2 linked regions of the Alligator mississippiensis genome follow. The protein of the gene in region 1 interacts with the protein of each later gene in a biochemical or structural test. Links are inferred from orthologs where the notes say so. Each region holds a gene or a part of one and is shown on either strand. Other genes may lie near its edges.

Region 1 (6,945 bases):
CTTCTGTAGATGTGCATGTGGCTCAAGTATTGGGTTAAAAAGTCACCTCAAGACCCATCCATGAACTGTGGTAGAGATCATTCTCATATTGAGGGACTGCCGGCAACAGGGAGCTGTGATGCACCAGAAATTACATGGTGGGGACAATATCTTTTATTGGATCAAATACGTGGTGGGTGGGGGTGGGAATGAAGTTAGACAAGCTTTCTGATCTTTCCAATACAAGACTTCCTCCTACAGGGGTGTTGAGGGGGCATTTTCAATGTCATTTTCAGGCATCTTCTCAAAAACTGGGCAAGGCTGGGGAGATGCTCCAGGTGGGCTGGGGCAAGGGGGAGGCATGGGTGGGAACTGGAGCCCTGTGGTGGATGAGATCCATCTCGCATAAGAGCCAAGTTATGCACATGGCTTGAAAGAGCCTTGCTCCCAGGCCTCTGGACTTGGCAGGCCTCTGAAAGGGAAACACCCCTGGACATATCAGATCTGGAGGGAGATCTGACTGCACCTGTGTGCAGTTAAAGACTCGACTTGTGTCAGGGTTGATGGAAGCTTAGGTTATGGATTTATATGGGATAGTTTGGACAGGGATGATCCTGCCTCAGGTGGGGGGTTGGACTAGACCTCTGGAGGAACCTGCCAGCCCCACTTCTCTATGATTTCTAATTGCTGGACTCTTATCTAGGGCTGCAGTGGGCTGAACTGCATGGTACTCTTCCTGACATGAGCCATTGTTCTGAAACCTCACAGTGCAAAATGCTGGAAAGTTGCCAGGGGAAGAGAGAAACCAGGGACTTCTTTTGCAAAAACTCTTCCACGCCATCCCACTTTCTGATACCCACCCGGCCCCTCCCTTCTCCAAAAAGAAAAACAAGGAGAGAGGAAATTCAAGGAACAGTTTGAGCAACTGATTTCTGTCTCATAGTTTCATAGTTGTAGGGTCGGAAGGGACCTAAGTAGATCATCAAGTCTGACCCTCTGCCCTGGGCAGGAGTGAATACTGGGGTCATATGATCCCAGCTAAGTAATTATCAAGCCGCCTCTTAATGACCCCCAAGGTAGGAGCCAGCACCACTTCCCTTGGAAGTTGGTTCCAGATCCTAGCTGCCCTGACTGTGAAGTAGTGCCTTCTAATGTGCAGCCTGAACCTACACTCAAACAACTTATGGACATTATTCCTTGTTACTCCGGGAGGTGCTCGGGGGAACAGGGTTTCTCCCATTCCCTGCTGGTCCCCCTTGGTGAGTTTATTGATGGCCACCAGGTCCCCTCTCAGCCTTCTCTTGTGAAGTGAGAAGGTCCTGTAGCCTCTCCTCGTAGGGGCTGCCCTGCTGTCCCCAGATCATGCGAGTGCCCTCTAGACCCTCTCAATGCTGGCCACATCCTTCCCAAAGTGCGACACCCAGAATTGGATGCAGTACTCCAACTGTGGCCTGACCAGTGTCACACAGAGGGGGAGGATCACCTCCTTGGCCCTGCTCGTGATGCATCTGTGGATGCATGACAAGGTATGGTTAGCCTTACTGACCGCGTCCTCACATTGGCGGCCCGTGTTCATTTTGGAATTGATAATGACTCCAAGATCCTTTTCTGTCACTGTGCTTACAAGAAGGGAGTTCCCCAGCCTATAGGTATGCTGCTGGTTCTTACTGCCCAAGTGTAACACCCTGCACTTGTCAGTATTGAATCCCATCCTATTCTCAGTCGCCCACCCCTGTAACCTGTCCAGGTACAGCTGTATCCTGTCCCTCCCTTCTAGCGTGCTCACATCATCCCAAATCTTGGTGTCATCAGAGAATTTGAACAGGGTGCTTTTCACTCCCTTGTCCAAATCGCTAATAAAGAGATCGAACAGTGCGGGCCCGAGGACCGAGCCCTGGGGTACTCCACTGCCCACATCCCTCCAGGTTGAATATGACCTGTCCACCACCACTCTCTGGGTGCGGCCCCTCAGCCAATTTGCAACCCATCTGGCTGTGTAGGCATCAATGCCACAGTCGCCTAGCTTTTTAATGAGAATGGGGTGGGAGACAGTGTCAAAGGCCTTCCTGAAGTCCAGAAAGACTACATCCACCACGACACCTGCATCCAATGATTTTGTGACCTGATCATAGAAGTCAATTAGGTTGGTCTGACAGGACCTGCCCCTAATGAAGCCATGCTGGTTGCCCCTGAGCATCATCCCCCCTACTGGTCTCTCACAGATGTGCTCCTGGATAATTTTCTCAAAGAGCTTCCCCAGGATCGAAGTAAGACTAATGGTCCTATAGTTGCCCGGGTCCTCTTTTCTCTCTTTTTTGAAAATGGGGACCAGGCTGGCCTTCTTCCAGTCTTCTGGCACCTGGCCAGAGCACCACGAGTGCTCGTAAAGCCATGCCAGGGGCCCCTCGATAACCCCTGCCAATTCCCTCAGAACCCTGGGGTGGAGAGCATCTGGACCTGCTGATTTGAACACGTCCAGCCCCTCCAGAAGTTCCCTAACTCGGTCCTCCCTGACCTAGGCCTGGTGGAGTCCGTCCTGATCCCTCCTGAATCCCAGTGGGGGAGGTGTCCTGGTCCCTGCACAAAAACATGGAGGCAAAGAATTTGTTAAAAAGGTCTGCCTTTTCCTCTGGTGCAACGATCAGATTGCCAAGCATATCTTGCAGGGGCCGCACGTTACCAGGTGCCTTCTTCATACTCCCTATGTATTTAAGAAAGGACTTTTTGTTGTCCTTGATCCTTGATGCAAGCCCTAGTTCTGTATCTGCCTAACAGCCCCACAACAAACCTGAGCGATGGAGGTATACTCCTCTTTGGTGATAGCCCCTCCCTTCCACTGGATGTACACCTCCTTTTTGGCTTTCAGGCATTCCTGAATGCCTTTGGCGAGCCAGGGGAGCTTTTGAGCACTCTTTCCCCCTTTGATTCTCATTGGAACTGTCACCCCTGAGCTCGGAGGATTGTCTCCTTAAGGAATGACCACTCGTTGTGGACACCCAGTTCCCCTACCCTCCAGGACTTCAGTGCCTCTCCTACCAATCTCCTCAAGTCATTGAAGTTGGCCCTCTTGAAATCAAGGGCTACTGCCTTGCTGCAGGCCCTTGACACCCTGTACTGGATGGTGAGTTCCAGTAGGTGATGATCGCTGTCGCCCAGGTGGTCGAGAACCTGGAGTCCCCTCACCAGGTCGTCGCCTGTTGCCTGGACCAGGTCCAGCAGGGCATTCCCCCTGGTGGGACTGTGCACCTCCTGGGTTAGATTTTCTCTGAAAAAAAATCTGCAATTTTCAGATTAAGAAAAGTAACCCAAAATCCACATTTTTCCATGATCAAAATGAAACACCACTATTTATCTATCTAGATTTAGATATCTATATAAATATATGAAGTGAAAATGAAATTGGGTGAAATGAAACACTCTATGAAAACATAGAGATATAAAAATGAAATGCCACTAATACATAGAGATATATATTATATATATCTATATAGAGATCTATATCTTTATTGATATAGAGATATCTATGTATTAGTGGCGGTTCATTTTAATCATGGAAAAATGTGGATTTTGGATTACTTCCTTGAACCTGAAAAGTAGCGATTGTTTTTACCAGAGAGAACCAAGATCCCTTTTCACTACACAACCCCACCCTCTGGCCGTGGGCAGGGAAAGCCTGTCCCTTTAAGAGGGTCTGCAGGCTCTTCCACAACGCTTAGAGCTGCAGCGAGTCCTGGGGGGCGGGAACTGAGCCCAGGGGGGCACTGCTGATTGGTGGACAGGGCTGGAGAGCGCCATCTGCCCATTGGTCGGGGGGGTTGGGAGAGAGGGGGCGGGGCTTGATCTCGGCGGCACAAAGCTGATTGGTGAGTAGGGCGCGGGAATGCCGTGTGCCCATTGGTTAACGTTAAGAGCGGGGGGCGGGACCGTGGTCGCCAGGGGAGACGGGGAGGGTGTGCGCCCGAAGCCGGAAGTAGCCACTGGAGCGGCTACGTGAAGGCAGGGCGCGGCGGCAGTGGTGGCGGCGGCACGATGGGCTGTTTCTTCTCTAAGCGGCGGAAGCCGGGCAAGGCGCCACTGCCCTCAGACACTGGAGCGGGGAGCGAGGACACGCAGCCGCGGTACAGCTGGGACCAGCGCCCCCAGGTACGGCCCGCCCCGCTGCACCTCGCTCCTGCCCCCCGCTGCGGGGGCGGCTCGTGGCAGCCGTTGGGCAGCGCGCTCACCGGGCGGCGGTGGGCGCTGACGTCACCCCCCCCGGGGGCTCTCCGTGCGCTCGCGGCAGCCGGTAGGCGGCTACCCGGGCGGCGGTTGGTAGGTGGCGTCACAACCCCCGCCCCGCCCCGCACCTGTGGGGCCGTGACCTCCCTGCCAGCTGTGGGCTGGGGGCGCCCCCTGGCATGGGGAGCTTGCCCCCCCACACACACACACACCTTGTGAGCTGGGGACTCTGCCCTGGCAGGGAGTGGCAGAGGTGTGACTCCAGACCAGGGTGCACCCAACTCCAACGATTAAAAAAAAAAAAAATTAAAATTCTGATTTTTTTTATCAGATTTTTTTTTTGTAACTTTTGTTAACGTGCTTTAAAAAAAAAAGCATATATAAAGATAGGTTTAATTTAACATATGTTAAAGCTTGAAGATATCATCATGGGATAGGGTTGCCAACCCTCCTGGGCTGCCAAGTATGTTCCCAGCCATCTATCTCCCGGTGACTATTAAAAGCAACCTGGGAGATTGATATTGTAAATGGGTCAAGCGGTACAACTAATGACATTACGTTTTGTTGGGGGTAAAAAAATCTCCTGGAATAGCTTCAGTCAGAGTTGGCAACCCTGTCATGGAATTGGGATGATAACTTCTAATTGTGTGCTGGTTGAGACCATGCATTTAGGTAACTTTTTTAGAAAAGTTTTACAAATAGCTTACAACAGGCCAGGGACTAAGTCAGGGGCTCAATCTTATGGGGTTCCCAGAGGCTCCTGTATGGATGAGCAAAGATTAAAGAAGCCCTACATTTCTGTGAGTCTGCGTAAAACCACTCTACCTAATAGGACTTGATGGGTGCTCAGTCTAGAGGATCTCATGAAGCATCTCTGTGATGCTTAGTTTCAGTTCTCAGGCTGTAGATCAGTGTCTCCAGAGAGAATATCCTTGTTTACAGCAGTATATGGAGATGAGAGAACAGACCTGACTACCACCCATTAGCCCTCTTGTCTCTCTGCAAGTTTGTGTACACAGTCAAGCCTTTAGTTCTCTCTAAAAGTGCAAAGTTTCAAGAAGTTAAATGAATAAAGGATATTGAACAAGAAGAATGCACTTTTTGTAGAAAACAGTGATTAAATTGAGGCTTTCTGACTGGTGATTTAAATCATAATTTCAACCACTTAAATCAATTTGGTTCAAATCAAATCCACCCTGCTCCAGACTGGCAAAGTGAGGGTGGCAGGAGCTGCTGGGATGGACATGGCTATCATTAGGGATCCTGGTTTTCTCTGACTAAAAAAACTCCCAATGTTCAGATGATAAAAAGTAACTCAAAATTGACATTGGATCCTGGTACAAAAAGGTTGAGAACCACTGGAGTAGAGGACCTCTGGAGATCCTTTCCAGCCCGGCTTCCCTGTGCCTGTGTGGCAGCTTGGTGGAGAGTTGTCCTGTAGGGGAAGATGCTTCTTGGTGTTAGCTGATTCCTCAGGGGGATGGAAGTGGCTGCGATCTTTAAAGCAAGTAGCAAGTTGGAAAAACTTGCAAAAGGAAGTTGTCTTTCACCCTGCCTGTAATACAAGGATGGGACTCATCATTCCCAGATGTGATGGAAGCTGGCAGCGTAGCCAGATAGGACAGCCAGCAGCAAAGCTAGAAGGGGATTGGAGAAATCCTTGGAGGAAAGGGTAGCTATTGAGCATGGGAGTGAGGGATACAGCTTCTGAATCATAACTTCCCAGACCTTAACTGCTGGAGGCTGCATGTGACAGAGAAACAGATTTGGGCGGAGCAGAAAACCCTGGTCATACCCAGTTCACTTCTCTTTCAGCATCTACTCTCTGCTACTGTGTGACAGACCTGTTTGATGTGCAGTGGGGACATGGGCCAGTGCCTACCAGGTGAAGTTGAAAGCCCCCTTTAATCTTGGGGTTACAGGGTGCACATCAAGCGATTACAAGGCACCACTAAAGAAAGCGGGGATGGGAGTGAGGTGTGTGTGTGACAGAATGCTGGCCAAGATGGACTTGTGATCTGACCTAGTAAATGGCAGTTCTTATGTTCTTCAGCTGTTAAGAAGAAATTGAGATAACAAGGTATAGAGTGGAAACTTGAGTCTGACTCTCTTGTTTTTTACACATGTACCCCTTTTGCTGCAGATTTTACTTGGTGTTTGTGATATTGTTGTTCTACTGATGCTCTGTTCTTCCCTAGCCTTTCTGCTTGCTCAGGAAGAAGGCAATTCAGAGGTTTTCTTGTTAACCCCACATATACAAACAAGTAAACAAATGAAAACCATAGGTCACCTTCCCTTGTAGAGGGGGGGAAAAGGTGCAAGCCCGTTGCTGTATGTACTTCACAGTTTTAAACTTGGCTAGATGCCTCAGTGTGTCACCTCAAGCTTTCAGAGGGATTAGGCCAAGCTATGAGGTTAAGTCTATGAAAAGCTTGTTCGGGCAGTCAGTGTGTGCAAAGATAAAATGCTGATCTGTTTTTAGGGGAGACTTGTAAGTACAGCTTGAGTAGTACAGTAAAAGGAAAGGGGCAAACTTCACTGCTCCTGGCAGTTTCCACACAACAGCAATAAATTGAACTTAAAGTAAGCCAGGATCACTTTGAGCTGTAGGTGAAAGGTAGTGCAGCTACCCAAACATTCATTTAAAATTATAGCAGTTGAACTAGTCAACTGAATCTTGCTAACAGTGATGATGAGCCTAATACAATTGTAGCTACAGATAATTCTCAAAGCAAGGGCAGGAGGGAA
Region 2 (7,438 bases), on another chromosome or scaffold:
TGGCATGTTGAAATGTGGCAGAGGAAGAGAGGGCAGGATGCAACGACAGCTTGGGCCAGGACGGGGAGGAGAGGGAGGAGGCTGCAACCCCTTGAAGGGCGCCCTGGCATGCAGGAGACGCCTGCTGCAAGCGAGACCTGCTCATCACGTTGCAGCACGCCGTGAGGGCGAGATCCCGTCCAACAGCCTTTTCCCACCAAGGGGCACTGGTCCGCCCCGTCCGCCCTGGCTCCCAACCTGTCCAGGGAGCATTACCTGTAGAACTGGAGCATGAAGCCCGTGATGGCCATGCCCCCGGGCACCTGGAACGACATCCTCCCGATGAGGTTCATCTTCTCCCCGCTGTCAGGGTGGAAGGCCGAGTCGTAGAGCTTCTTGGCATACAGCAGCTGCTCCTGGCTGGTCCCCGGCGGCACGACGCCTGCCCTGCCAACCAGAGAGCCATCAGCACCTGGGAGGCACCCACCTGGGCACAGCTGTGCCCTGCCGTCATGATCCTCCACCCATGATGTCCTGCCAAGGTGCCTGAGGCAGGGCTCTGCTGAAAAAGGGTTTCCCCCTGGGAGAGCCTGGTTTCCCCCGCCATGGGGCATCAGGGAGCTATACACCCAAATGACACGTGCTCCAGTACGTGGGAGCCAGGCCGCCCGACTCCTTCCACCAGATCTCGCGGTACCCCGGAGCCCTAGGTTCAAACTCCCCCCGTCGGCAGGAGTGCAAGGCTTTGCTCACCTCTTTCCTACCCGCGGGGGCTGGATGGGAACCCCCACCGGGAGGGCTCAGTGAGGAGCCTCGTGCTGCGTGTCGCCCCCATCCCAACCCCTCAATGGTTCACGGTGTAGCCCTGAGAAAGGCCTCCAGGCGCCTGGGCTGCCCAGCTGTGTACCTGCAGCCTTGCACGAGCACCTTGGCCCTGTCCAGCTCTTGCTCCGACACCAGCACCGTGCGTGGGTCCGTGATGTTGAAGAAGTGCTTGAGGCGCCCCACGAACGTGGTCTGGTCCCACCGCGGGGTATCGATGTCGAAGCTGGCCGAAGCGGGTGCCATTGTAAGGCGGAGCTGGAGAAGGGGAGCACTGGTAAACGGACCCCGCTCTCCCATGCCCGACACTGCCCAGAGATCAGCCTCCGCAACCAACCTGTCTCTGGTAACGCCCCCCGTCCCAGGCCACCCCGCAGAAGCCCAGGGAGAGAGAGAAGCAGTGAATAAGCCCATGTCATGGGCTCGTCCGCACTGCGAGACTCTCCCAGCATGGCGATGTAGGGCTTGCTGGTGTTCACCCAGCAAAGAGGGACCCAGACCCCGACTTCAGCCCCTACCATACAAGGCATCAAGCCAACCCCACCTTTGCCATCTCCTGTTGGTTCAGGGCCATGACGAAGTATTGCACCCCACCCAAGCCGAGGTAGGTCCATCGGCAAAATCCTCCTTTGGGCACGAGCGTAACATGGACAGGTCCACGGTCACATATCTGCACAGCGCCTAGCATGGGGTCAGAGCCCCTGGGGCTCGGCCTCTGTGCAGGCAGCAATCCCCGCTAGGCTCCCGCTCCAGCACGACACCAGCTCCCGTGTCCAAGGTCAAGGTCAAAATGGCCAAGTCCATTGACCAAGGAGGTCAAGGGTGCCAGTAGCTCCAAGCAGCTGGAGGGGGACACAGCAGCTTTCACCTGTGCACCATCCCTGGTGCATCACCACCTAAGCTTTATTATAGGGACTGATGTGCAGCGATGGGGGCGATTGCAAGCCAGCTCTTAACAAACCAATACAACCCACCAGCTTCCATCGTGCCTCGTAGACAGGGATGATTCAGACGGGGCTGGACCAGACGTGGCAACCAGAGGGCCCTGCCAGCCCGACCTCACTATGACTCTGTGCCCAGCACAGGCCGTGACTTTTATCCCACTCGGGAGCTGCTCCCTACAAACAGGGACCGAGATCCCCATCATGGCACCAGGATCCAAGAGCTGCTGGCACGGAGGTGGCCATGTAGCCACCGTGTTCGCTGGCTAAGCAGAGCTGAAGCAGGGGCATATCACAGAGCTCTTAAACCAGCCCTCTGAGCCCATCATCGGGCCCCTCTACTCAAACTGATCCCATTTGGGGTCAGGAAGGAATTTTCCCCACCATGATCAAATTGGTACGGACTGGGAGGGGATGGTCATTCTCCATAGCACGGCGCATGGCTTCTGCCTGGGATCTCTCGAGCATCCAGCCCCTCACGACTACAAAACGGCTCAGACAGCCCCCCACTGCCAAAGGGGTTTGGCACTACAGATTTTTATTTGAAATCTGGGCCGAGCTTGTAAATCACACGTAGGCAGTTGCAATGCTGCGCGCCACCCTTACAAGGATCTCACGGGACCCCCAAGCTGCTGCAGCACCCGGGTGGGAATCACGGGTCTAACCAAGCCATGGCTGGGGGGTAATACTGAATATGGAGCCAGATCCGACACTTCTGCAACCCTGAGAAAGAAACCTTCCCTTGGACCTCCCGGCCTGACTGCTTCACCACCTTGGTTTAATGTTTCGCAGGCCCCCGATCCTAAAGCCCCCCCACGGCTGTGGGTGCTTCGCTGGGGACCCTGCAGCCTGGGCTGAAAGAGCTCGAGAGCCCTCCGATCCTTTCCTTTGAGGCCAGCGACGCTGTCCCAGGCAGGGCTTTCAGACACTGCAGCTGCCCTCCAGTCCCATGCACTCCTTTAAGTGTCCCGGATATCGTTGTTGGGTCTGCAGAGGTTACAAGCTCCATCTGCCACGGATACTTCACAACGAGCCCCAACATTTCCAGCGGGAACCTGCCACGTTGCTGATTCCACGATCCTCGTAGGGTCAACACGAAGTAGGATCGTGTTTGAGGTCTAGTGTGGCAGCAATGGCGAGAACGTGGGCCTGGGAGGGGTTTCACTGCGACCTGGGACATCCCCACTTCCCTACGGCTCCTTGCAACGAGGAGACTCACCTGCCTCCCCAGAGCTGGCTGCAACCACCAACCGCTGCCTGCAGCGCTCTGGAGGTGGCGGCACCGGACGAAATAGCCAACGGCTAATGGTTGGGAGCAGGGGGAAGATCCTGGGATCCAAGCACTGGGAACAGCCCCATGCCAAAAACTCCCAGGCTAGGAGGAGGTTTCAAGCTGACTTACCGTGAGCGCGGTCCCAGCTGCCGGCTCTTAGCTGGAGCTCGCCAGCTGCGCACACACCGAGTCTTAGAGAAAGTTAATTATTCCCTGGATGAATGCAAAAAAAAGGTGACTTATAAAGCGCCATCACTGCCTGGGAAATGCTGCATCTTTCGCAATTCTCTGGGGCACTTGACGGGACCCCGAGGATCCTCACGAGGCACTTGGAAGAGGGGACGCGCAGCCTGCGCCCGTTTCAGACGGGGGAAATCGTAGAAGAGGCAGCGGCCAACCGGGGCTAGGTCCTGCTCCGTGCCCGGGGTACAGGCAGATTAAGGGACATGCCTCGGGACACCCAGGAGGGCAGTAGCAGAGCTGGGAAGCGGCCCGGCCTGCTCTCACGGGGACGGGGGTGGTGAAGCGACGGCGTCGCGAGGGCCCCTGACCCCGCTCCTGTCCCGGTGCCCGCGGGGGCAAAAGGCGCCCAGCGTCCCGCCATCCCCTGCAAAGCCTGGTTACTAATTGGGGACGCGGTCAGCCCCGTGAACCCCGGACGGGCGGGTCCGGCCTGCGAGTCAAGATTAACCCCCTGGTTACTGCCCAGCGCGCCGGGCGGGCGGGGGTCTCGCTCGCTCGCTCGCTGACCGCAAACGGGGCTGGCAACAGGGTCCGCACGCCACCCCACGAGGCGGGGGGCGCCGTCAAAACGCTGCGGGCGAGGGCGAGGGGCTGGAGGCCTGGCGGAGGGGATGTGCAGCACCCCGAGGGGTAGCCCTGGGCTCCCCCACCCCTGGGTGTGCACTGCGCTGCACTGCGCTGCACTGCACCCCCCCGCCACAGCAGCCACATTCGCCCCGGGCGCTGCGCGGGGCCCCACCACGCTTCACTGGCGCACTGCACTGTCGAGCACTGCACACGCCAGCACTGCGCCCACACTGGGCATCGCTGGCACGTGCTGCTCAAGGCCACGCTGCACAAGCCAACGCTGCACAGGCCCACCTGCGCATCGCTGGCACGTGCCGCACTACACCGGCGCACTGCAACCCCCCTCCCCCCGCACTGCACGCGCTGCCCCCCTTACCTGCCGCGTCTCCATCCCACGTGGGCGCCGCCGGCGTGGCCCGCCCCGGCCAATCAGCGCCCCGCAGCCACCCCGCCCCACCCCACCCCACCCCGCCTCCAGCGCCCAACACGCATGCGCCCGCTTCACAGCCCGGGAGGGGGCGGGGCTGGCCTTCCCCACCCCTTCCTCCTCCTACTCCTCCTCCACGCGCCGCTTCGCGCACGTTCCGTCCTTGCGTGCCTGCGTCACCGCGGCGGCGGCGGGGGGGGGGTGACGCTAGACGTCGGCGGCGCCGGCGTGCATGACGCAGTTGCCCATGGTAACCCGGGAGCCGCGTAGAGGATGGTGAGTGCCGGGGGGGCGCGGGCCGGGCCCGGGCCCGGGCGGGGGAGGGGAGGGGAGGGGAGGGGCGGCACGGGGGCCCCGCCAGGGAAGCGGGGCACGGAGCGGGCCCCCGCCAGGGCTGGGGGAGGGGCTCCCGGCGGCGGGGTGGCAGTGGCAGTGGGGTTGTCGTGACCAAACCCCACGGGTGGGCGGGCGGGCGGCGTGGCAGCATCGCCGTCCTATGTCCGCCGGCGGCGACGGGGCGGCACGCGCCGTTTCTCTCTGCGCCGAGGGAAGGCTGGTATGGAGAGGACTCCCTCCGCGCGCGGCGGCGGTGACCGGCGTCCGTCCGAGACAGGACCGTGCCGCGGCGTTCGGGAACAGGGTCCATTTCACAGACGGCAACACCGAGTCGCAGGCATCAGCCGGCCCCGCAAAACACCCCGCGTCGGATTCGGGGATCGTCGCCCCCGACCGCGAGCTGCCGGAGACACGACTTGAAAACCGGCGTCCCTCGAGGACGCCTGGAGAGCGGACCGAGGAGCTCCGCGACTTTCTCCTCCTCGTACGAGCCCGTTACGTCAGGCCTTTGCTTTAATTAGGTCTTAAAATTGGCGCCGACCGCCGGTAGCCGTCAAGGTACGGCCGGAGAAAACGTGTCGGTATTCTAGAAAAGAGACCTACGTTTCACGCGGGGAAAGGAGCAGGTTGGCAGCGTCCCGGTTGAAGCGCGTAGATGCAGGTTTCACGCGCGAGCTTTCTTCCTATGGAAATCTGCCCAGACTTCCTCCGCTCGGCTTCCTCGACTTTTTTTTTTCCCCCCTCCCCTCTGTTTTCGTAGAGCCCGTTTAATTTTGCACGTGCAAAAGCTGGAGATGTAGCTCTCTTGCAGGGCGGCAAAAGAGAAACCGGCGTGTGACCTCTTTTGACAGAAAGCTGCGTCAGTGGGTTTGAGCGGGGAAAGCTGTCTAGGTGAATTGAATCCGGCAAATGTTAGACTTCGGCACGGAAAGAAATTGCCCGCATTGAATGACACCATATGGTGGAGACACAGCAAGCTAATGACTTCATTGGGAGTTTTGCCAGCGTAAGAAGTACTGAATAAAGTGCGCTCAATAGATTAATTTACTGTGGTTGTATTTCGAAAAAGGCTGGGTGATTGGATGACCGTTAGGAACATTGTGGCGATGCGGGCTCGGAGAAAGGCAATCAAACGTCATTCATCCGGGCATCAGTCAGTCAGGTGCCGCCGTCGGGAAGGATTCCCCCCCCTCCACACGCGTTGCATAATGATGCGCCGCACGTGAACTGCGGCTGACGGCGAGAGATTGGGTACAACACACCATTTGCCCGAAACGGCTGGTGAGTCCGGTGTAAATCCAGCCACACCTTCTCCAAAGACCCTCCTTGCCTACCGTAGTCCGTGATCGGGGCTCCTAGGTTGCGGATCGAGAGTCCATGCTGCTCAAACACACAGTAGAGAGACGGTCTCTGCCCCACTCGGCGTACAGTCTACCCATGAGGCTAACGACCACGTAGGGCTACAGACGCATTGCAAGGTCCAGGGAGCAGCGAGACAGTCGGGTCAGTGTGGTCGGCGGTGGTGACAGCAGTTCAGCTCCTGGGAAGAGGACAAAGTTTTTTAGGCATCGACGTCAAGGTGGAGAAGGAGGCTGTTTTATGAGGAGGCCTCCCCCAGCATCTGGCAGCAGAGGCGCCGGCTTGAAATGTAATCAGTTGGGGATGGAGGCTGGAACTGGGCTTGACATCGCAGCGGCAAAGAGGATATGAAGGGCCTTGAAAGTACAGACAAATAGTTTGCGCTTCATGAGACGGAGGGGTAGGAGCCAGCGGAAGACGCGAGGAGAGGAGTCGACGTGGTCCAAGCGATGGTTTGGGTAGCGAAACTCTTTGCAGTAGGCCTGTACTTGAGCAGACTTCGCTGGAGCTGTCGTTAATGCCACATCTGCTCGGCAAACATTTATTGGTAACCAAGGGCAGGTTTCCCAGCAGTTATATTTTATATTCATTATCTGAGCTTTGCGGCTAATGCAGCTAAAGAGAAGCTATTTACTTCTAGGGACGCGACTCTCTGCTCTCTTTTGACTGCAAGGCCCCATCTTTAAGCTCAGAACATAACAGGAGATTGTTCCCTCCATTACACCCTTTATATCCTCCGTTCCAAGAGGATATTTACACAGGTTATTTCAATGCTCTCTTCCCCCAAGACTAATTTCTTATTTGGCCTATAAATGTGAATCTTGCTTTGAACTGCTTCTGTGGCACTGAACGCAGTTACATGCATCAGCTAGTTCTAGAAAGCCATACAGCTTGGATTTAAAGCTGAATAAACCCGCAAACCCCATAGCTAGGTCTATAAATGTCATTGCATTTTTATATACGTGTAGCTTTTTTCCTAAAGAAAACAGGATTACTGCATGGAGCTGTAACAAAAAGTCCTTTGGTGATTCTGTGGGTATTTTAAAACCTAGAAATGACATGCTTTCCCTCAACCACACATCCTTATTCTCTGAAGGTTATGGTGGTAACTTTCCCTCATTTCCAGCTTGCTCTGTTTCTCTCTTAAGACGGCACATAATATTCAATACTGGGTTCTGAATTTTTTTTGAAACTGTGCCATATAAATATATATTGCAATATCTTCATCCAGAAAATGGCACTCTCTCACTGATGGTTATGTCACATCCTAACCTCTCTGCCACCCTTTCCCCTAGCCACGACAAGCCTGAGTTTTGCTGCGCTCATATTCCACCCAGAGCGCTGCTACGAAGGTCCTGTTCAAGACCCATCATTTTTGGTCCTTTACATCCATTCACCGGCTTCCTAGATCATCTCCCACCCCCGGCAGTCCATGATGCCAGCCTTTAAACAGAAACATCGGTGCTTTCTTCCATACCCGGGAGGAGCTCC

What was found. The genes of interacting proteins can lie anywhere in the genome.
Region 2: the proteins of RP2 (region 1) and ARL3 form a complex in vitro, tested with the Homo sapiens proteins (2 studies listed by BioGRID). The link is inferred for Alligator mississippiensis from reciprocal best matches to the Homo sapiens genes RP2 and ARL3.

The regions. Positions count from the first base shown.
Region 1 is NC_081824.1:338,479,073-338,486,017, reverse strand, and holds the start of RP2 (protein XRP2), read left to right. Parts: upstream 1-3,940; 5' UTR 3,941-4,008; coding exon 4,009-4,122; intron 4,123-6,945. UniProt on the Homo sapiens protein: Acts as a GTPase-activating protein (GAP) involved in trafficking between the Golgi and the ciliary membrane.
Region 2 is NC_081829.1:99,164,124-99,171,561, forward strand, and holds the start of ARL3 (ADP-ribosylation factor-like protein 3), read left to right. Parts: upstream 1-4,422; 5' UTR 4,423-4,525; coding exon 4,526-4,528; intron 4,529-7,438. Other genes in the region: SFXN2 (sideroflexin-2), read right to left, coding at 256-426, 887-1,059, 1,346-1,375. UniProt on the Homo sapiens protein: Small GTP-binding protein which cycles between an inactive GDP-bound and an active GTP-bound form, and the rate of cycling is regulated by guanine nucleotide exchange factors (GEF) and GTPase-activating proteins (GAP).